Linked DNA regions of Xenopus tropicalis. The main gene of each other region encodes a partner of the protein of the gene in region 2 in a complex. Links are inferred from orthologs where the notes say so. Each region holds a gene or a part of one and is shown on either strand. Other genes may lie near its edges.

Region 1 (10,510 bases), about 110 Mb from region 2:
CCCAGGTCCTATACTTGTACTTACTTTCCAGTCTACAGATCATTGGTGAGGTTAAAATAAAAATACATTGTTATTAGACCAAACATTTATGTTAGGTACACAAACGCGAGCTTATACAGAACCTCTTTCACGCTTCTCAAACAACTCTATTACTGCAATACACAACTACTTATGGCCATCGGATAATAAAGGAGATTTATTTTGTAAATAAGGGTAATAAAGTGAGCAGCAATGTAACAACCAGAAAATTGTGTTATTTGCCAGAAAATCAAATAATCAGAGCTGCAGCTCTTTTAATAAAACTCCTTTTAATGCTGGAACACTTGTGCCTTGTGCCATATAAAAAGGTTAGGTGAAAGCACATACAGTCCTGCTAAATAAATTACACAGATAGCAGTATTTTCAGTGACAAACTTGACTTGCTCTGCAGAGTGATGCTACGATGTCACTTTGTGCACTGCTACAGTCAGATGATCATGTTTTTGAATCATGACAATTCTAGGAGAGAAGTGAAAGAAAGTATTAAAAAAGCCATAATAACAAAATATGAAACACCATGTATCTGCAGATGACTTGTTCATGACAGTTCATGTGGGATTACAATGAGTGTAAGACTGAGGATTCTCAGATGTTTAAAGCTGTGAAGAGTAATGAAAATGGGGCATTTTGGAGCTTCATGGATGTGGGGGACAAAATTCTCCAGATTGCCCCATCCATTCATTGTTAATTGAAAGCTTCTGATATAGTTTTGTATGGGCAATTATCTCCCTAAGCTTAGCTTCTTAAAAGCACCCCAGAGTACAGTGAGGATATGCAGGGCCACTAGCAGGTAAAATGTGGCTTAACAAAATCAAAGTTTGCACACCTTTTTGACATGAGCTCATTCAATTAGCCGTATGTAGACATGATGTATAAATACTATCTGTACTTCCAGAAATACATTTTAAATGTAGTTTATTATTTACAATGGAACAATGCGAGGGAGGGATTGGATCACTGGCAGCCTAAAGCTGGCTATACACAAGCAGATAAAAGCTGTAGATGAATGCTTATAGGCCCATCCATGGGGCCCTCAGAGGGGCCTGCCTGACCGATATCTGGCCAAAAATAATCCAGTTGTTGATCAGGCAAGTTTAAAAATACCTTTAGGGCAAAAAAAAATGTTGGCTCGTTGATGCGGTCCTTACCTCAATGTCCTGCATACCACTAATGCGATCTGATGGGAAATAATCTGCTCATTGGTGGTTCTTTCCACGTTGGCCAAGCTTAAGGTAGGTAAGAAACTGGCCCCTGCAGCAACAGCTGACTATCATGTTTTACTTTCAGTTAGTGTAATGTCAGTGTAAAAAAGTTCTAGAAGTTCAAATACTGTTAATGCTCCTTTTCTAACTGAACCCAACTGAATGAGATCATGTCAAAGAGTATATTTTCCCTTAAAAAAAACAATTCCCTGGTTCATGTTATAAATATACTGTCAAAATTCCCATGATTGAAAAACTGATTGTATCACTTTAACTTCAATAAAGTTGCACAAAATTCCCTTTTGCTGCCCCTTTGTGAATGTACCAGGGAGTATTTCTTCCAAGTTGAGCCATAAAAATACCTGTGTGCACTGCCAACTTTAGACCAGTGTTAAACACAGGACAATATGAGCAACAAAGCTGTACTGTACTACTGCAATGCTCCTTATTTCTGTGTAGCCCACTTTGACATCAGCTGTGAATTACTTTGGTCAGCCTAAAAGCAATTCCTTAATTACTGTTGTTCTCCAGTATTAACATTGTTACAGTTTTGTTTTGGCAAAGCTACCCATATATTAGTTCAGCTAACTTGATTCTATACACACAATTTTTTAGTTTGTAGAAAATCTAGCATAAAACAGGTGAAAATGAATGTAGCTTGTAAATGTGATACTATTCACTAACCAGAGAATAGAGAATGCAGTTGAAAAGGTACGTATTTTGGTAGAAATAATATAAATGCAAGTTACACGCTTAATGGTAGTGTGTTGGGGTATTCTTGACTGAAAATTATCTGGGGATTTTTAAGATTAGTTGTCTAATTCCAGGATGAAAAACACAATTTTGCCTCTTTATAGGTCTCTGGTAAGGCCTCACCTTGAGTATGCAGTGCAATTTTGGGCTCCAGTCCTTAAGAAGGATATTAATGAGCTGGAGAGAGTGTAGAGATGTGAAACTGAACTGGTAAAGGGGAAGGAAGACTTAAACTATGAGGTTAGACTGTCAAGGTTGGGGTTGTTTTCTCTGGAAAAAAGGAGAGGGGGTTATAGACTGATTGGTGGTATTGTTTTTTTCCCATAACCCCAAAACGATCAGTGCACTGCACTAGAGGCCACCCCTTTAGATTAGAGGAAGGGAACTTTCATTTAGGTGCTTAGGTGTTTTTGTTTTTTTTTTACAGTGAGGTTGTGGAATGCCCTTCCTAGTGATGATGTAATGGCAGATTCTGTTAATGTCTTTAAGAGGGGCCTGGATGAGGTCTTGAACAAGCATAGTATCCAAGGCTATTGTGATACTAAAATCTACAGTTAGTATTGATGTTGGTATATATAGTTTATGTATGTAAGTATATAGATAGGTCAGTATGGGTCTATGTGTGTGCACTAGGCTTCACTTGGAAGGGTTGAGCTTGATGGTCTTTTTGCAACCCAACTTACCTAAGTAACAACAAAAAGAAAACAAGTAATGGCTTAATTATTGTCCTGTAGATATATATTCTGGATTCTCTAACTGTATGAAAATGGCCTCACCCGTTGTCAGATTCTAGGCATACAACTGGCACATCTGTGGGGTCTGACGTAAGTTTGGCTGCATACTGAGGAAGAATGGAGATCACACCAGCATGTTTATCGGAAAGGCTTCCACAACCTTCAAGAAAAATAATATATATTTTTTTTTTTTTAATACTCAACCACTAAAAGTTTGGGGGACAGATTTGGGGTTGAAAAAACAAGTGAGCAGCAGTAGAAATACTATAGTGCATTGTTTTAGTTCCTGGAGAAGTGGAACATGAAGCACTTAATACAATCACATTAATAATGCATTTTAGAAAGAAGAAAGTGTAACCTTCTAAAATATAAGCATCTTAAAATACAGACAATTAAATAGGAATGCATGCTAACCAATGGTACACCTCAAGTAATTGGCTCTTATTACATCCTACTACTGTAGTGTATAGGTCTCATGACACTGCATGGTCATGACACTGCAATGGTTCTTTCAAATATCTACAGAGACTAGGGCATGGAAAGGCAACACTTGGCTTAAGGAGAAGAATCTTTACTTTTTCAGGATTTACTAAATTGTTCATATTCTGGATACATTTTTCCACTAAAATATGTTACCCTTTATATATGTATAGCACTAACATATCATTCACTTCAGTCTGTCCCAGTGGAGCTTATTGTCATGAGAGAATTTTCATTAGCCTACCCAAACCTACCCTACACCTCCAAAAAAAAGTTTGTTTTTTTTTTTTTTTTTTTTTTAAAAAAGGCAGCCTCAAGGACAGGTTTGCAAGTGCTAAGCCACTGCTGATTTCAGAGGGAAAGTGAACCTTGTGATCACGAGTATTTTGTGGTGGGAGCACAAAGACTCAGCAACGCAGGTACAGAAGCTTCTGTTCTTGGCTTTTGGCATATATTGTCTGCTGCTGTCAGGGGCCCCAAGAGAATTAAAAACACAAGTAGGGTGGGGCTTGCATGGAGTAGGCAGGGTTTTGGACTAATGAAGCATGATGAGGGGATCAGGGGCATGGTTGTGTGTGTGCAGGCCATGGTGCCTTCAGCCCAGGTGACCAATGGATTAAAAACCTATTGTGTTACTTAACAGGGTTTACCAAAGGGGTCAGTACCCCCATGCAAGAGTCTGTTTGTTTCTACTGACTCTTTCACAGATTACTTTGGCTGCAGAGTAACAGATAGCAATCTCCATAAAAGGGAGAGGGAGCCTTCACATAAGACAAATATTGGAAGTTCAGCAGCTACACCAAATGGTCAAAGGTAATTCTCAGAGCAACGTAATTAATATAAAGCTGTTCCTCCGTTTGCTGCTATAATAGCCTCTACTCTTCTGGGAAGGATTTCCACAGCTGTTTATTTGAATTAAGCCTAAAAATGAATTTGTTAACCTTACTCAGAGTGTTCCTCAGAGTACTTTTGCAATTTACATCAATTTTCAATATTATACACAAAACCAATGTAAAAGGGTACTCACATCCCAGACTTAGCCCCTGTGAATCTGTACACAGAACTCCAACAATTGATGGATTTTTCATTCTGAAAAAGTAAGGAACGGCAAAACACTTGTGTCAAGATACCAAACAAATACTGGTTACCTATCTGAAAGCTATTTCAGCTATATCATCTCTACTAGTTCATAGGATATTATAGATATAGATTATTATAGATTAACCAAACAAATTTAAAAAGTGATAGAGTGGCCATAGCTGCCATTTTGTCCTTATAGTCAGGGGAAAAGAAAGATGATGTTGCAAAGTTTAGACAATTAGTCAGTCTCTGATGTTTCTTGTGTCAGTATTAAACAACACAACTTTTCTCAGAAATATATATATACTTCCAAATAGATGCCGGCACTCACTCACTCAGGTCCAAAAATTATTGAATATACTGGAGGAAGTGTCAGTACTCGCAGGACTTGTTGTTTTATTATATAGGAGACTAAAATTTCGGCTAGCACTCTAGCCTTTATCAAAGTGGTGAATACAACAAACTCAGTGTCTAAAAAGCACACAGTGGTGGGAAAAAGTGGAGATGACGTAATCCTACGTTACCAGACAGAGATCAAAATTATATCAAAAATAAATAATAACAAAAATTATATAGACAGGCAATAAAAAAAGAATACTAAATGGACAAAATAGAAAGTACAAGAGAATAACCACAAGGTCTAAGAAGAGTAACACTTTTTATGAAGCTAGATGTCAGGGATGTACCGTGAAAGTCAGAATATTAGAGTAAAATAGTCAGAAATATAATCAAGTGTTTAAATAAAGTTGAATCTTGGTTAAGGAATCAATAATATGTGATCGCACTGTGGGCAGATCGATCTGTGCAACCCGTTTATTAAACACCTCTATACAGATCATGCACTAGAAAATACTCACTAGCAGAGGATCAAGACCATGAATGTATTTGTTAAGTAAAATTCCAGGTGTAGAGTCAAACAAGGAAGCCACATGGTTGTGTGTCTGCTTGGACACAAACACACATCTATATATACACTTATTTACAGACCTATATGTACACACGTGTTGTTGCACATATACACATACAATTACACACATATTGATGCACATATATACACATGTGCACCTAAATATTTACTTATATATGTGTCTATATGTGCACATATATAAGCACTTTCATACACACATACGCATGTATATATGAGCACCTATGCACGCACCAATGAATACAGATATATATATATATATATATATACACACAATTGCAATAAAGGTTAGCACTCACAGGACTTTGGTTAATATTCACCAAAAAAGTTTTTTAGCAATATCTTACATGGTTTTTATTAATCCGACGTTTCAGCTCCACACAAGAGCCAGTATGCCTGACTCCATCAAAACATGCACAGCCCCCATCCCTTTCAGTTATGCCACTTTGCCCACCTACACAACTCCACTCCATCATCCTCCTCACATAACCTACCTGCCAGCCACTTGTGCCATTTCCTTACACATAACTGCATGGCCACCTCTGCCACCCAATTCACCTACACAGTTTCATGAGCCTTCTCACCCCCAATAAGGATTTACATGCAGTTAACTCATGACTCCCCAAACCTCCATGCCTGATATTGCACTGCTTCCTCCTAACAAAAACTCCAAGGCCTCCTCTGCTTTTCGAGTAAACCCCTCCAACAACTTCCTTGCAATTAATCTGTGCATCCGAATTTACATCCCCTCTTCAACTGCCTACCCGCCTAACAGCAACAACATGGTCGTTACCTTGTGTAACTAATAGCTCACACTTATGCTTATACCCCCTCCCCCAGATGCCCCAGTCTCCGAATGAACAGTGACAGTGTTCACCGCTTCCTCCCCCCACGATTTCCTCTCCTGAGTGAGATCACGCATGTAGGAATGATTAAAAATAAGAGAATCTGAACTATTACCAGCAAACTTAAAGACACGTTACGAAATTCAAGTTCTGAAGTGCATTTCTGTCTGTTTGAATTATTTCTGTTCTTTCGCTTTAAATGTCCTGATTTTACTAATTGAAAAAAACCAATTAATTTTATTTTCCTTAGTATGTGTTTACAGAGCACTCACGTATCTTCCAAATGCTGCTCCAGAGCCGCTTCCATAGCTGAGTCTCTTCTTCCTGTCAAAAAAACCTTAAAGCAGTTCCTCTTCCGGGTGTTTGCTCATGTGACCCTCCCGGTCAGCTGACTGTTAGACAGAAGGTGGGGCTAATGGGAGTTTTCGTTTGCAGTATTTGAAGCTCTGGCGCTATTAAGAAAAATCAATGAATGAAAAATACTATTAATATGCTTTGGCTTAATGGTGGTTCCGCTACAATGCACAATGCTTCATACAAAGCTAACATACTCTGAGAATAGGTTTCTTGATTACTGTTTTTACTGGCCTGACAGTAGGATTCTTGTCCATTTTGGTTTCTTGACTTCCTTTTGCAATTTAGTGTTTACAGAGGGTTAACTGACTTTGGGTGTCACGTGGGTTAATGTCCAGAGTGAATTTTACACCCAGTTCCATGGAGCTCTAGATTTGTTACTGCACATGACGTTGTTTCTTCTCCCAAATGGATGTGGTGGGCTTCAATCAAAGGAAATAAAATATTTCTAAAATATATATTAAAGGGTTTGTTCACCTTAGTTAAGTTAAGTGGCTATTGATAAACATAACCACAGAGTTTGTGAATGTGGTAAGAACTGAAAGCTCTACTGGGGCAAGGACAGATGTAAATTCCCCCTACTACTACCTGCCCAATCCTTAACTTGCATGTTATTCCTCACCTCATGCTGGATTGTTTATTAGGCCTAGGGTGCAGAGTGCAACCAGAAGCTTGACAGAAGTGGTCTTTTGAATGAGAAACTAAGAGTTATGCTATTGGACTTATGTCCGGGTCATATAAAAATGATCACTATTCACTTTCAATTCTTGTGCCACTCGGCACAAATGGTGGTTTTTGCCAGACTGTTCAATAAAAAACAGGAGAGGGTGCCCTTGCATAGAGTAGCATGCATTTATTCTAACAGGATGCTCCCACAGTTAAGGGTATGGGCCCAAACGGCTTAGTGTCAAGATTTTTCAATATTTTACGAGAAAACCCATCCTATACTAGCATATGGGAAAACACAGATACAGTTACATTCTTTACATAAGCTCACATTGCAGTCACGCTGTAATAGGGTAAAACACTACAATACTCTAGGCTGCTACAAGCTTATCTCTCTCTTGAACACTAAAGGTGGCCATACACAGGCTGATTGTAGCTGCCGGATATTGGTCCCTTGGACTGATTCGGCAGCTTATCGGCCCGTGTAGGGGCAGCAACGACTGCCTGCCCGACTGATAGCTGGCCTAAAATTGCCAGATATAGATCGGCAGGTTAAAAAATTCAGTTGGATCGGCGACCGTATCGGCTCGTTGATGTGGTCCCCCAACCGACTGGCTCCCCAGGGCCAAATGACCGAATTAACCTAAATTCCCCCGATATCGCCACCTGTTGATGGGGATATCGGGAGAAGGGACCTCGAAAGGCGAGCGGATCTTTAAGTATGGCCACCTTAAACATTTGTTTGTGGAAAAGGAGCAAGGCAACAAACAATTTAAATGTTCTGTTTTACAGAAATTACACAGGTAAATGAAATATAATTACATAAGTACTAGATATAACCAGCAGATGGTGCTATTGCTTAAAATTTTACTAAGAGCAACTTTACTTCGCTTTTTTTGAGGCTCTCAAACAAACGAATGTAATGTTACTATATTTCGTTTAGGCTTATGGCCCACGAGGAAGCTTTGCGCGACTTCGGAAAGCTGAAGCTATGTGTAGGCCTTTCCACAGGTAACTCCTACTGTTGCCGGTGGAAAGACATTTCTGACATTTCTCATGTTAAATCATCTTGCCGATGATTTATTATTGATCATTCAAAATGTTAATAACTCGCTTTAAGAAATCTTTATTTTTTTACATGATTGTGGTTCATTTTTGGAGGTACAAAATTAACGCTCACAAGACTGAAACTAGAAAGGGAAGTTTGAGAATAAACTTCATGTTGGTTTGAAAAACATAAAGTCACTGAATGAAATCTGATATGTTGTTGACTTGGTCCACTTTTTCTAACCTTGGACCCACAGTTATATAGTAAAAAACACTCTGCAAAGTTTGGAGACCCTGGTTTTAATAGTGTCTAAATGGCAGCAATTTAAATTTCCCCACTGAAAGTCAACAAGTGACATCTGATTGGCGGTTGGTGGCTCTGCCCATTTGTTCTAATCTGGAACTGCAGTTACCCAGTGACTAACTCTGCAAAGTTTAGGGACCCTAGGATTAATAGTTACAGAACGGCAGCAGTTTAAATTTAAACCAATAAAAGTCAATAGGTGAATTGTAAATGGTGGTTGGTGGGTGTGCCCGCTTTTTCTAACCTTTAGTCAAAGTCACCCAGTGACTAACAGTGGGCACCTTGGCATAAATAGTGTGAGAATGGCAGCATTTTAAATTGAAACCAATAAAATTCAATGGATGAACTGTGATTGACTATTAGTGGCCCAACCCAGTTTTGCTATTTTTGAACTGCAGTCTCCAATGACCAACTTTGCAAAGTTTGGGGACATAAAAATTGTGGGACTGCATTTTACACTTCACCATTGAAAATCAATAGGTAAAATCTGATTGGCTGTTGGTGACCCTGCCCACTTAAAAAAAAACAAAATACGTATACAAAACTTGAATACGTAGTCACCAAGTGACTGACAGTGCAAAGTTTGGGAAGCCTGGCATTAAACCAATAAAATTCAATAGGTGAAATTTGATTGGCTGCTGGTGGCTCCGCCCAATGGAGCCTAACTCTGCAAAGTTTGGGGACCCGTCGTTATTACTGTGAGAATGGCAGCAGGTTGAATTTTGGCCAAGTCAATAGGTAAAATCTGATTGGCTTTTCACAGCTCCGCCCACTTTCGGGCATCCAACAATCATCATATTTTCATTCAGGCTGACCCCATGACTATGTGATTCAAGTTTGGGGAGTGTAGCCTCAAATCTGTAAGACTGGCAGCAGATTCAATTTCCCCATTAAAGTCAATGGGTGAAATTTGATTGGCTGTTGTTGGCCCCTCCCATTTTGGGTCATCCAACAAATGTTTCCGTTTCATTCGGAGTGACCCCATTATTATATTATTTAAGTTTGTGGGCTGTAGCTTCAAAGTTGTAAGAGTGGCAGCAGTTTGAAAATCTTCCCTGTCAAAGTCAATGTGAAAATTAGGGGGTTCGGAGCAGCGCCACAAGACAGGGGGTGGGATCGCTTGGAAAAGCACAAGCAACCTGCTCCGCTATAGGGCGAAGAAGTGTGGGGAGTCCTCTAAAACTGTAGGAGGAGTAGCATTTAGAAAATGGGGAGCGCTAAGAATAAAAAGAAGAAGAAAAAGCGGAAGAATAAGCTGAAGTTGAAGAACAGTATGTTGGGTTTTTCAACCGAACATAACATTAATGTTACTATACCCAATGTGCAAGAAAAGAGAAACGGAGAAACACCATTGCTGGTGGTCCCTATTCAGAATTCAACCAACTGCACCATTACCCTTGCTCAGTGCTGTCCAACTGGCGGCCCGCGACCCCACCTGTCTGGCTGCTTTGACAACTTACCTTTGTGTAAGCTTTTTTTTGTCATTAATTTTTTTTTATTGTTTTATAGCAATCAGTTAAACATTTTACGTTCCATACATAAAGTTGCATTCTTTTTTGTTTTTTCCAGTCATTAACATTTAGGAAGTAATGTCGTGGTGTACCTTTGTGTAAGCTTTAAATGGTATCAGTACTGCCCCCCTGCATGGTTAACACCTCAGATTCAGGCTGTAAACCCTCTGTATTGTTTAAAAATGTAATCCCCTGTGTTGTTCACACCTTTTAATCCCTACATTGTTCACCCCCTGCAGTATACACTATAAAAAGAACTTATACTGAGGTGGTACTGCAATTAAAAAGTTTTTTAATATATAGTTATTGTGCAGACTGTAGGAGCAGTGGCAGCATTGTGTCACTGTAGGCTGCCTGTGTGCCATACTCTGCCTGCCCTATGCTGCCTGTGTGTGCCATACACACAGGCAGGGTAGGGAAGGCAGAGTATGGCACACACAGTCAAAGTATGGCACACACAGGCAGCATAGGACAGACAGAGTATGGCACACACAGGCAGGGTAGGGAAGGCAGAGTATGGCACACACAGGCAGGGTAGGGAAGGCAAAGTATGGCACACACAGGCAGCAT
Region 2 (10,440 bases):
CCCACAGACTCCCTGCCCCTCCCCCTATAGGCTTTCATCACAGTGCTCTAGCCCCTCCCACTGCTTGCCCCACAGACTCCTGCCCCTCCCCCTATAGGCTTCCATCACAGTGCTCTAGCCCCACCCACTGCTTGCCCCACAGACTCCTGCCCCTCCCCCTATAGGCTTCCATCACAGTGCTCTAGCCCCACCCACTGCTTGCCCCACAGACTCCCTGCCCCTCCCCCTATAGGCTTCCATCATAGTGTTCTAGCCCCACCCACTGCTTGCCCCACAGACTCCCTGCCCCTCCCCCTATAGGCTTCCATCACAGTGTTCTAGCCCCACCCACTGCTTGCCCCACAGACTCCCTGCCCCTCCCCCTATAGGCTTCCATCACAGTGTTCTAGCCCCACCCACTGCTTGCCACACAGACTCCTGCCCCTCCCCCTATAGGCTTCCATCACAGTGCTCTAGCCCCACCCACTGCTTGCCACACAGACTCCCTGCCCCTCCCCCCTATAGGCTTCCATCACAGTGTTCTAGCCCCACCCACTGCTTGCCCTACAGACTCTCTGCCCCTCCCCCTATAGGCTTCCATCATAGTGTTCTAGCCCCACCCACTGCTTGCCCCACAGACTCCCTGCCCCTCCCCCTATAGGCTTCCATCACAGTGCTCTAGCCCCACCCACTGCTTGCCCCACAGACTCCCTGCCCCTCCCCCTATAGGCTTCCATCACAGTGCTCTAGCCCCACCCACTGCTTGCCCCACAGACTCCCTGCCCCTCCCCCTATAGGCTGCTATCATAGTGTTCTATCCCCACCCACTGCTTGCCCTACAGACTCCCTGCCCCTCCCCCTATAGGCTTCCATCACAGTGTTCTAGCCCCACCCACTGCTTGCCACACAGACTCCCTGCCCCTCCCCTTATAGGCTTCCATCACAGTGTTCTAGCCCCACCCACTGCTTGCCCCACAGACTCCCTGCCCCTCCCCCTATAGGCTTCAATCACAGTGTTCTAGCCCCACCCACTGCTTGCCCTACAGACTCCCTGCCCCTCCCCCTATAGGCTTCCATCACAGTGTTCTAGCCCCACCCACTGCTTGCCACACAGACTCCCTGCCCCTCCCCCTATAGGCTTCCATCACAGTGTTCTAGCCCCACCCACTGCTTGCCCCACAGACTCCCTGCCCCTCCCCCTATAGGCTTCCATCATAGTGTTCTAGCCCCACCCACTGCTTGCCACACAGACTCCCTGCCCCTCCCCCTATAGGCTTCCATCACAGTGTTCTAGCCCCACCCACTGCTTGCCACACAGACTCCCTGCCCCTCCCCCTATAGGCTTCCATCACAGTGCTCTAGCCCCACCCACTGCTTGCCACACAGACTCCCTGCCCCTCCCCCTATAGGCTTCCATCACAGTGTTCTAGCCCCACCCACTGCTTGCCACACAGACTCCCTGCCCCTCCCCCTATAGGCTTCCATCACAGTGTTCTAGCCCCACCCACTGCTTGCCCTACAGACTCCCTGCCCCTCCCCCTATAGGCTTCCATCACAGTGCTCTAGCCCCACCCACTGCTTGCCACACAGACTCCCTGCCCCTCCCCTTATAGGCTTCCATCACAGTGTTCTAGCCCCACCCACTGCTTGCCCCACAGACTCCCTGCCCCTCCCCCTATAGGCTTCAATCACAGTGTTCTAGCCCCACCCACTGCTTGCCCCACAGACTCCCTGCCCCTCCCCCTATAGGCTTCCATCACAGTGTTCTAGCCCCACCCACTGCTTGCCACACAGACTCCCTGCCCCTCCCCCTATAGGCTTCCATCACAGTGTTCTAGCCCCACCCACTGCTTGCCACACAGACTCCCTGCCCCTCCCCCTATAGGCTTCCATCACAGTGCTCTAGCCCCACCCACTGCTTGCCCTACAGACTCCCTGCCCCTTCCCCTATAGGCTTCCATCATAGTGTTCTAGCCCCACCCACTGCTTGCCCCACAGACTCCCTGCCCCTCCCCCTATAGGCTGCTATCACAGTGTTCTAGCCCCACCCACTGCTTGCCCCACAGACTCCTGCCTCTCCCCCTATAGGCTTCCATCACAGTGCTCTAGCCCCACCCACTGCTTGCCCTACAGACTCCCTGCCCCTCCCCCTATAGGCTTCCATCATAGTGCTCCATCCCCACCCACTGCTTGCCCTACAGACTCCCTGCCCCTCCCCTATAGGCTGCTATCACAGTGCTCTAGCCCCACCCACTGCTTGCCCCACAGACTCCCTGCCCCTCCCCCTATAGGCTTCCATCACAGTGCTCTAGCCCCACCCACTGCTTGCCCTACAGACTCCCTGCCCCTCCCCCTATAGGCTTCCATCACAGTGCTCTAGCCCCACCCACTGCTTGCCCCACAGACTCCCTGCCCCTCCCCCTATAGGCTGCTATCACAGTGCTCTAGCCCCTCCCACTGCTTGCCCCACAGACTCCTGCCCCTCCCCTTATAGGCTGCTATCACAGTGCTCTAGCCCCACCCACTGCTTGCCCCACAGACTCCCTGCCCCTCCCCCTATAGGCTGCTATCACAGTGCTCTAGCCCCACCCACTGCTTGCCCCACAGTCTCCTGCCCCTCCCCCTATAGGCTGCTATCACAGTGTTCTAGCCCCTCCCACTGCTTGCCCTACAGACTCCCTGCCCCTCCCCCTATAGGCTTCCATCACAGTGCTCTAGCCCCACCCACTGCTTGCCCTACAGACTCCCTGCCCCTCCCCCTATAGGCTGCTATCACAGTGCTCTAGCCCCACCCACTGCTTGCCCCACAGACTCCCTGCCCCTCCCCCTATAGGCTGCTATCACAGTGCTCTAGCCCCACCCACTGCTTGCCCCACAGACTCCTGCCCCTCCCCCTATAGGCTGCTATCACAGTGTTCTAGCCCCTCCCACTTCTTGCCCTACAGACTCCCTGCCCCTCCCCCTATAGGCTGCTATCACAGTGCTCTAGCCCCACCCACTGCTTGCCCCACAGACTCCCTGCTCCTCCCCCTATAGGCTGCTATCAAGGTGTTCTAGCCCCACCCACTGCTTGTCCTACAGACTCCCTGCCCCTCCCCCTATAGGCTTCCATCACAGTGTTCTAGCCCCACCCACTGCTTGTCCTACAGACTCCCTGCCCCTCCCCCTATAGGCTGCTATCACAGTGCTCTAGCCCCACCCACTGCTTGCCCCACAGACTCCCTGCCCCTCCCCCTATAGGCTGCTATCACAGTGCTCTAGCCCCACCCACTGCTTGCCCCACAGTCTCCTGCCCCTCCCCCTATAGGCTGCTATCACAGTGCTCTAGCCCCACCCACTGCTTGCCCCACAGACTCCCTGCCCCTCCCCCTATAGGCTGCTATCAAGGTGTTCTAGCCCCACCCACTGCTTGTCCTACAGACTCCCTGCCACTCCCCCTATAGGCTTCCATCATAGTGTTCTAGCCCCACCCACTGCTTGCTCCACAGACTCCCTGCCCCTCCCCCTATAGGCTGCTGTCACAGTGCTCTAGCCCCACCCACTGCTTGCCCCACAGACTCCCTGCCCCTCCCCCTATAGGCTTCCATCACAGTGCTCTAGCCCCACCCACTGCTTGCCCCACAGACTCCTGCCCCTCCCCCTATAGGCTTCCATCACAGTGCTCTAGCCCCACCCACTGCTTGCCCCACAGACTCCCTGCCCCTCCCCCTATAGGCTGCTATCACAGTGCTCTAGCCCCACCCACTGCTTGCCCTACAGACTCCCTGCCCCTCCCCCTATAGGCTGCTGTCACAGTGCTCTAGCCCCACCCACTGCTTGCCCCACAGACTCCCTGCCCCTCCCCCTATAGGCTTCCATCATAGTGTTCTAGCCCCACCCACTGCTTGCCCCACAGACTCCCTGCCCCTCCCCCTATAGGCTTCCATCACAGTGCTCTAGCCCCACCCACTGCTTGCCCCACAGACTCCCTGCCCCTCCCCCTATAGGCTTCCATCATAGTGTTCTAGCCCCACCCACTGCTTGCCCCACAGACTCCCTGCCCCTCCCCCTATAGGCTGCTATTACAGTGCTCTAGCCCCACCCACTGCTTGCCCCACAGACTCCCTGCCCCTCCCCCTATAGGCTGCTATCACAGTGCTCTAGCCCCACCCACTGCTTGCCCCACAGACTCCCTGCCCCTCCCCCTATAGGCTGCTATTACAGTGCTCTAGCCCCACCCACTGCTTGCCCCACAGACTCCCTGCCCCTCCCCCTATAGGCTGCTATCACAGTGCTCTAGCCCCACCCACTGCTTGCCCTACAGACTCCCTGCCCCTCCCCCTATAGGCTGCTGTCACAGTGCTCTAGCCCCACCCACTGCTTGCCCCACAGACTCCCTGCCCCTCCCCCTATAGGCTGCTGTCACAGTGCTCTAGCCCCACCCACTGCTTGCCCTACAGACTCCCTGCCCCTCCCCCTATAGGCTTCCATCACAGTGCTCTAGCCCCACCCACTGCTTGCCCTACAGACTCCCTGCGCCTCCCCCTATAGGCTGCTATCACAGTGCTCTAGCCCCACCCACTGCCCATGGGGTACTGCGGCCCTTACTCACACAGAGCAGTAAAGTGAGTGAAACTGTGGGAAAGAGCAGAAAGTAGTTTCCCTTTAAAGGGCAGGAGTCACGTGATGCAGCAGGACAAGGTGCCCCATTTACCCCCCAGTGAAAGTTACTGCCCCCCCCCCAGCCCCGGTGCCTCACCCCTTTGCCGGTGTCAGTCTCCCCGCTGTAGCAACAGCCCATGTCCAACCGAACCGGGCCAGCCCGCTCTGGCCAGCCGAGCCTCTCTGTCACATGACCGGGGGGAGCCGCACTCCTTAGGCAATAGTTCCGCTTCCGGGTGGAGCCAGGGCTGCAGAGAACAGGAAGTAGGAAGCTGGGGGCGTGGCGTTACCTGGGCAACCGCCGGGATTTTCATTTTTGTTCCGTAAACTTTTGTCGCTATAAATAAACGCAGAGCTCCCACCCCATTGGCACCAGGGGGCGCTAGGCCTTCAGCTTTGGTGCCGCTTTGCTTAACCCTTTGTGTGGATGTGGCAAATTTGTTCTCTGGCCCTTATCCCTTCCGGGTTCTACAGTAACTAACAGGCCTCATACCTTCCCTAGCATGGGGGTCATTCACTGACCGGAACCGGGCAATCCCCCCACTGAGCCCTCAGCCTGGCAGGTCTGTACTTCCGCTTCCGTGCTGTTTGTGCCTCTGGGTACTGGGAATGCCAGGGGGGCTGTAAGGTGCCACAGACAGTCACTATTTATTGGGCTGGGGGGGCTGTTTGTGCCTCTGGGTACTGGGAATGCCAGAGGGGCTGTAAGGTGCCACAGACAGTCACTATTTATTGGGCTGGGGGGGCTGTTTGTGCCTCTGGGTACTGGGAATGCCAGGGGGGCTGTAAGGTGCCACAGACAGTCACTATTTATTGGGCTGGGGGGGCTGTTTGTGCCTCTGGGTACTGGGAGTGCCAGGGGGGCTGTAAGGTGCCACAGACAGTCACTATTTATTAGGCTGGGGGGGGGCTGTTTGTGCCTCTGGGTACTGGGAATGCCGGGGGGGCTGTAAGGTGCCACAGACAGTCACTATTTATTGGGCTGGGGGGGGGGCTGTTTGTGCCTCTGGGTACTGGGAATGCCAGGGGGGCTGTAAGGTGCCACAGACAGTCACTATTTATTGGGCTGGGGGGGGGGGGGGCTGTTTGTGCCTCTGGGTACTGGGAATGCCAGGGGGGCTGTAAGGTGCCACAGACAGTCACTATTTATTGGGCTGGGGGGCTGTTTGTGCCTCTGGGTACTGGGAATGCCAGGGGGGCTGTAAGGTGCCACAGACAGTCACTATTTATTGGGCTGGGGGGGCTGTTTGTGCCTCTGGGTACTGGGAGTGCCAGGGGGGCTGTAAGGTGCCACAGACAGTCACTATTTATTGGGCTGGGGGGGGGCTGTTTGTGCCTCTGGGTACTGGGAATGCCGGGGGGGCTGTAAGGTGCCACAGTCAGTCACTATTTATTGGGCTGGGGGGGGGCTGTTTGTGCCTCTGGGTACTGGGAATGCCGGGGGGGCTGTAAGGTGCCACAGACAGTCACTATTTATTGGGCTGGGGGGGGGGGCTGTTTGTGCCTCTGGGTACTGGGAATGCCAGGGGGGGCTGTAAGGTGCCACAGACAGTCACTATTTATTGGGCTGGGGGGGGGGGGCTGTTTGTGCCTCTGGGTACTGGGAATGCCAGGGGGGCTGTAAGGTGCCACAGACAGTCACTATTTATTGGGCTGGGGGGGGGGCTGTTTGTGCCTCTGGGTACTGGGAATGCCAGGGGGGGCTGTAAGGTGCCACAGACAGTCACTATTTATTGGGCTGGGGGGGGGGGCTGTTTGTGCCTCTGGGTACTGGGAATGCCAGGGGGGCTGTAAAGTGCCACAGTCAGTCACTATTTATTGGGCTGGGGGGGCTGTTTGTGCCTCTGGGTACTGGGAATGCCAGGGGGGCTGTAAGGTGCCACAGACAGTCACTATTTATTGGGCTGGGGGGGGGGGCTGTTTGTGCCTCTGGGTACTGGGAATCCCCATTGCCCCTGCGCTGTAGCTCAGCTAACTTATCAATTTGTGGGGAAATGTGAATGTAGCCAGTGATTAAAAAGTCAGCAACGTGCTGCCCATTTCTAGGCGCCATCATTGCCGGGACATTATGAGGTTAAGTGACTTTGTCCATGGTCACAAGGTAAGGGGCCCAGTGGGTGGGTGGGTGCTGCCATAGCTTGCCTTACATTTATGGGTCTTGAGTTAGACTCCTGCCCTGGGGGCTCTGCTGATATCAATGGGCTCAGTTCTGACACCTACCCACTGGGTATCCGAGCTGAGCCCCATTGATGTAGGCAGGGCTCCCAGGGCGGGAATCGAACTCAGGGCCCATCGGTGTAAGGCGGGCACCCTACCCACTGAGCTATCCTTCCTCCTCCCACTTGTAGGGTGTTTTTTCGTAATCTTGTCTTCTGCATATTGGCGGTTGGTGTATCCTAACCGACTGACTGAAACACTCAGGGTTACAGCCTGCTGCTTGCCCCAAGCCCTATATAACTAGGGGGGCTGTTATAGTAGGGGGAATCCTCCATTTATCAACATTCTCTGGGGGGGGAGTCACAGAGGGGAGAGAGGTCTTCTTTGCAGTAAAAGTGGTGGGAAAACTGGCGGAAACACTTTCTCACAGAAATCTGCCTAAATTCCAACTCAGCCGCCACTTTCCCATTTGTGGGGAAAGAAAGACTGTCTTTTAAAGGGCATTTTCCCGCCATTTTCAAAATGGAGTGAAGCTCAGTGCTACATCTCATCAGCAAACACAGATACACCGCTTACACTGACCTCAAGTCATTAATGAACAAATTCAATTAAAATATCAGTTTGTCAGAAAATATGATGAAAAAGTAACTGTTTGCGCCATTACATAAGGGGGTTTGTTTCTCCTACAGATTCCTGGACTCCATCTTGGTCCAACTCAGCCCCATATGTTGCCCCACACGTGCCTGTAGCCCCTCTCTGTCCCATCATGTTCAACCCCTTCCCTGTAATATTCCCTGTTATGCCTATAGCTCTATGCATGGGGGCCACCGATAGGGGAAGGGGGAACCCCCTGGACTTGTACTGCAATAAAGGTTAATCCCTATACACATATATATATTTATTTTTCCAAACCAGCCAGTCAGTTCTAAAACCAGCCCCAAACTAGCCAAAAGCCATTTTGGAAGTAGCCCAACCATCCAGCTGGGGTGGCTGATAATTCCCTCTGTGCCCAGTCCAGCTGGGGTGGCTGATAATTCCCCCTGTGCCCAGTCCAGCTGGGATGGCTGATAATTCCCTCTGTGCCCAGTCCAGCTGGGGTGGCTGATAATTCCCTCTGTGCCCAGTCCAGCTGGGATGGCTGATAATTCCCCCTGTGCCCAGTCCAGCTGGGATGGCTGATAATTCCCCCTGTGCCCAGTCCAGCTGGGGGGGCTGATAATTCCCCCTGTGCCCAGTCCAGCTGGGATGGCTGATAATTCCCCCTGTGCCCAGTCCAGCTGGGGTGGCTGATAATTCCCCCTGTGCCCAGTCCAGCTGGGGGGGCTGATAATTCCCCCTGTGCCCAGTCCAGCTGGGGGGGCTGATAATTCCCTCTGTGCCCAGTCCAGCTGGGGTGGCTGATAATTCCCTCTGTGCCCAGTCCAGCTGGGGTGGCTGATAATTCCCCCTGTGCCCAGTCCAGCTGGGGTGGCTGATAATTCCCTCTGTGCCCAGTCCAGCTGGGGGGGCTGATAATTCCCCCTGTGCCCAGTCCAGCTGGGGTGGCTGATAATTCCCCCTGTGCCCAGTCCAGCTGGGATGGCTGATAATTCCCCCTGTGCCCAGTCCAGCTGGGATGGCTGATAATTCCCCCTGTGCCCAGTCCAGCTGGGGGGGCTGATAATTCCCTCTGTGCCCAGTCCAGCTGGGGTGGCTGATAATTCCCTCTGTGCCCAGTCCAGCTGGGGTGGCTGATAATTCCCTCTGTGCCCAGTCCAGCTGAGGTGGCTGATAATTCCCCCTGTGCCCAGTCCAGCTGGGGGGGCTGATAATTCCCCCTGTGCCCAGTCCAGCTGGGGGGGCTGATAATTCCCTCTGTGCCCAGTCCAGCTGGGGTGGCTGATAATTCCCTCTGTGCCCAGTCCAGCTGGGGGGGCTGATAATTCCCCCTGTGCCCAGTCCAGCTGGGGTGGCTGATAATTCCCCCTGTGCCCAGTCCAGCTGGGATGGCTGATAATTCCCCCTGTGCCCAGTCCAGCTGGGATGGCTGATAATTCCCCCTGTGCCCAGTCCAGCTGGGGGGGCTGATAATTCCCTCTGTGCCCAGTCCAGCTGGGGTGGCTGATAATTCCCTCTGTGCCCAGTCCAGCTGGGGTGGCTGATAATTCCCTCTGTGCCCAGTCCAGCTGAGGTGGCTGATAATTCCCCCTGTGCCCAGTCCAGCTGGGGGGGCTGATAATTCCCTCTGTGCCCAGTCCAGCTGGGGGGGCTGATAATTCCCTCTGTGCCCAGTCCAGCTGGGGTGGCTGATAATTCCCTCTGTGCCCAGTCCAGCTGGGGTGGCTGATAATTCCCTCTGTGCCCAGTCCAGCTGGGGTGGCTGATAATTCCCCCTGTGCCCAGTCCAGCTGGGGTGGCTGATAATTCCCCCTGTGCCCAGTCCAGCTGGGGTGGCTGATAATTCCCTCTGTGCCCAGTCCAGCTGGGGGGGCTGATAATTCCCTCTGTGCCCAGTCCAGCTGGGGTGGCTGATAATTCCCTCTGTGCCCAGTCCAGCTGAGGTGGCTGATAATTCCCCCTGTGCCCAGTCCAGCTGGGGGGGCTGATAATTCCCTCTGTGCCCAGTCCAGCTGGGGGGCTGATAATTCCCTCTGTGCCCAGTCCAGCTGGGGTGGCTGATAATTCCCTCTGTGCCCAGGTCCAGCTGGGGGGGCTGATAATTCCCCTCTGTGCCCAGTCCAGCTGGGGGGGCTGATAATTCCCTCTGTGCCCAGTCCAGCTGGGGTGGCTGATAATTCCCTCTGTGCCCAGTCCAGCTGGGGTGGCTGATAATTCCCCCTGTGCCCAGTCCAGCTGAGGTGGCTGATAATTCCCCCTGTGCCCAGTCCAGCTGAGGTGGCTGATAATTCCCCCTGTGCCCAGTCCAGCTGGGGGGGCTGATAAATTCCCTCTGTGCCCAGTCCAGCTGGGGTGGCTGATAATTCCCTCTGTGCCCAGTCCAGCTGGGGTGGCTGATAATTCCCCCTGTGCCCAGTCCAGCTGGGATGGCTGATAATTCCCTCTGTGCCCAGTCCAGCTGGGGTGGCTGATAATTCCCCCTGTGCCCAGTCCAGCTGGGATGGCTGATAATTCCCTCTGTGCCCAGTCCAGCTGGGGTGGCTGATAATTCCCTCTGTGCATCCAGGTCCACTGCAGGGGTGGCTGATAATTCCCCCTGCTGCCCAGTCCAGCTGGGATGGCTGATAATTCCCTCTGTGCCCAGTCCAGCTGGGGGGGCTGATAATTCCCTCTGTGCCCAGTCCAGCTGGGGGGGCTGATAATTCCCCCTGTGCCCAGTCCAGCTGGGATGGCTGATAATTCCCTCTGTGCCCAGTCCAGCTGGGGGGGCTGATAATTCCCCCTGTGCCCAGTCCAGCTGGGATGGCTGATAATTCCCCCTGTGCCCAGTCCAGCTGGGATGGCTGATAATTCCCTCTGTGCCCAGTCCAGCTGGGGTGGCTGATAATTCCCCCTGTGCCCAGTCCAGCTGGGGGGGCTGATAATTCCCCCTGTGCCCAGTCCCTGCAGGTTATAGTAGTTTTGCTGATTCAGGTTCAGCAAAGAGGAATGGAAAAGGGAGCTTCTGTCTATAATTGCATGCTGGGTAGTGTAGTTTTATATTAGTCAGCTGTAGGCTAATTGTAA

Evidence for each region.
Region 1: lamtor1 (region 2) and lamtor5 share a complex: the UniProt entries of both Homo sapiens proteins name them as parts of the ragulator complex. The link is inferred for Xenopus tropicalis from reciprocal best matches to the Homo sapiens genes LAMTOR1 and LAMTOR5.

The regions. Positions count from the first base shown.
Region 1 is NC_030678.2:72,302,561-72,313,070, forward strand, and holds lamtor5 (ragulator complex protein LAMTOR5), read right to left. Parts: upstream 6,458-10,510; 5' UTR 6,366-6,457; coding exon 6,331-6,365; intron 5,979-6,330; exon of another isoform or gene 5,811-5,978; intron 5,781-5,810; exon of another isoform or gene 5,740-5,780; coding exon of another isoform or gene 5,708-5,739; intron 4,298-5,707; coding exon 4,236-4,297; intron 2,889-4,235; coding exon 2,771-2,888; intron 499-2,770; coding exon 438-498; 3' UTR 184-437; downstream 1-183. UniProt on the Homo sapiens protein: As part of the Ragulator complex it is involved in amino acid sensing and activation of mTORC1, a signaling complex promoting cell growth in response to growth factors, energy levels, and amino acids.
Region 2 is NC_030678.2:178,920,708-178,931,147, forward strand, and holds the start of lamtor1 (ragulator complex protein LAMTOR1), read right to left. Parts: upstream 4,863-10,440; 5' UTR 4,760-4,862; coding exon 4,718-4,759; intron 1-4,717. UniProt on the Homo sapiens protein: Key component of the Ragulator complex, a multiprotein complex involved in amino acid sensing and activation of mTORC1, a signaling complex promoting cell growth in response to growth factors, energy levels, and amino acids.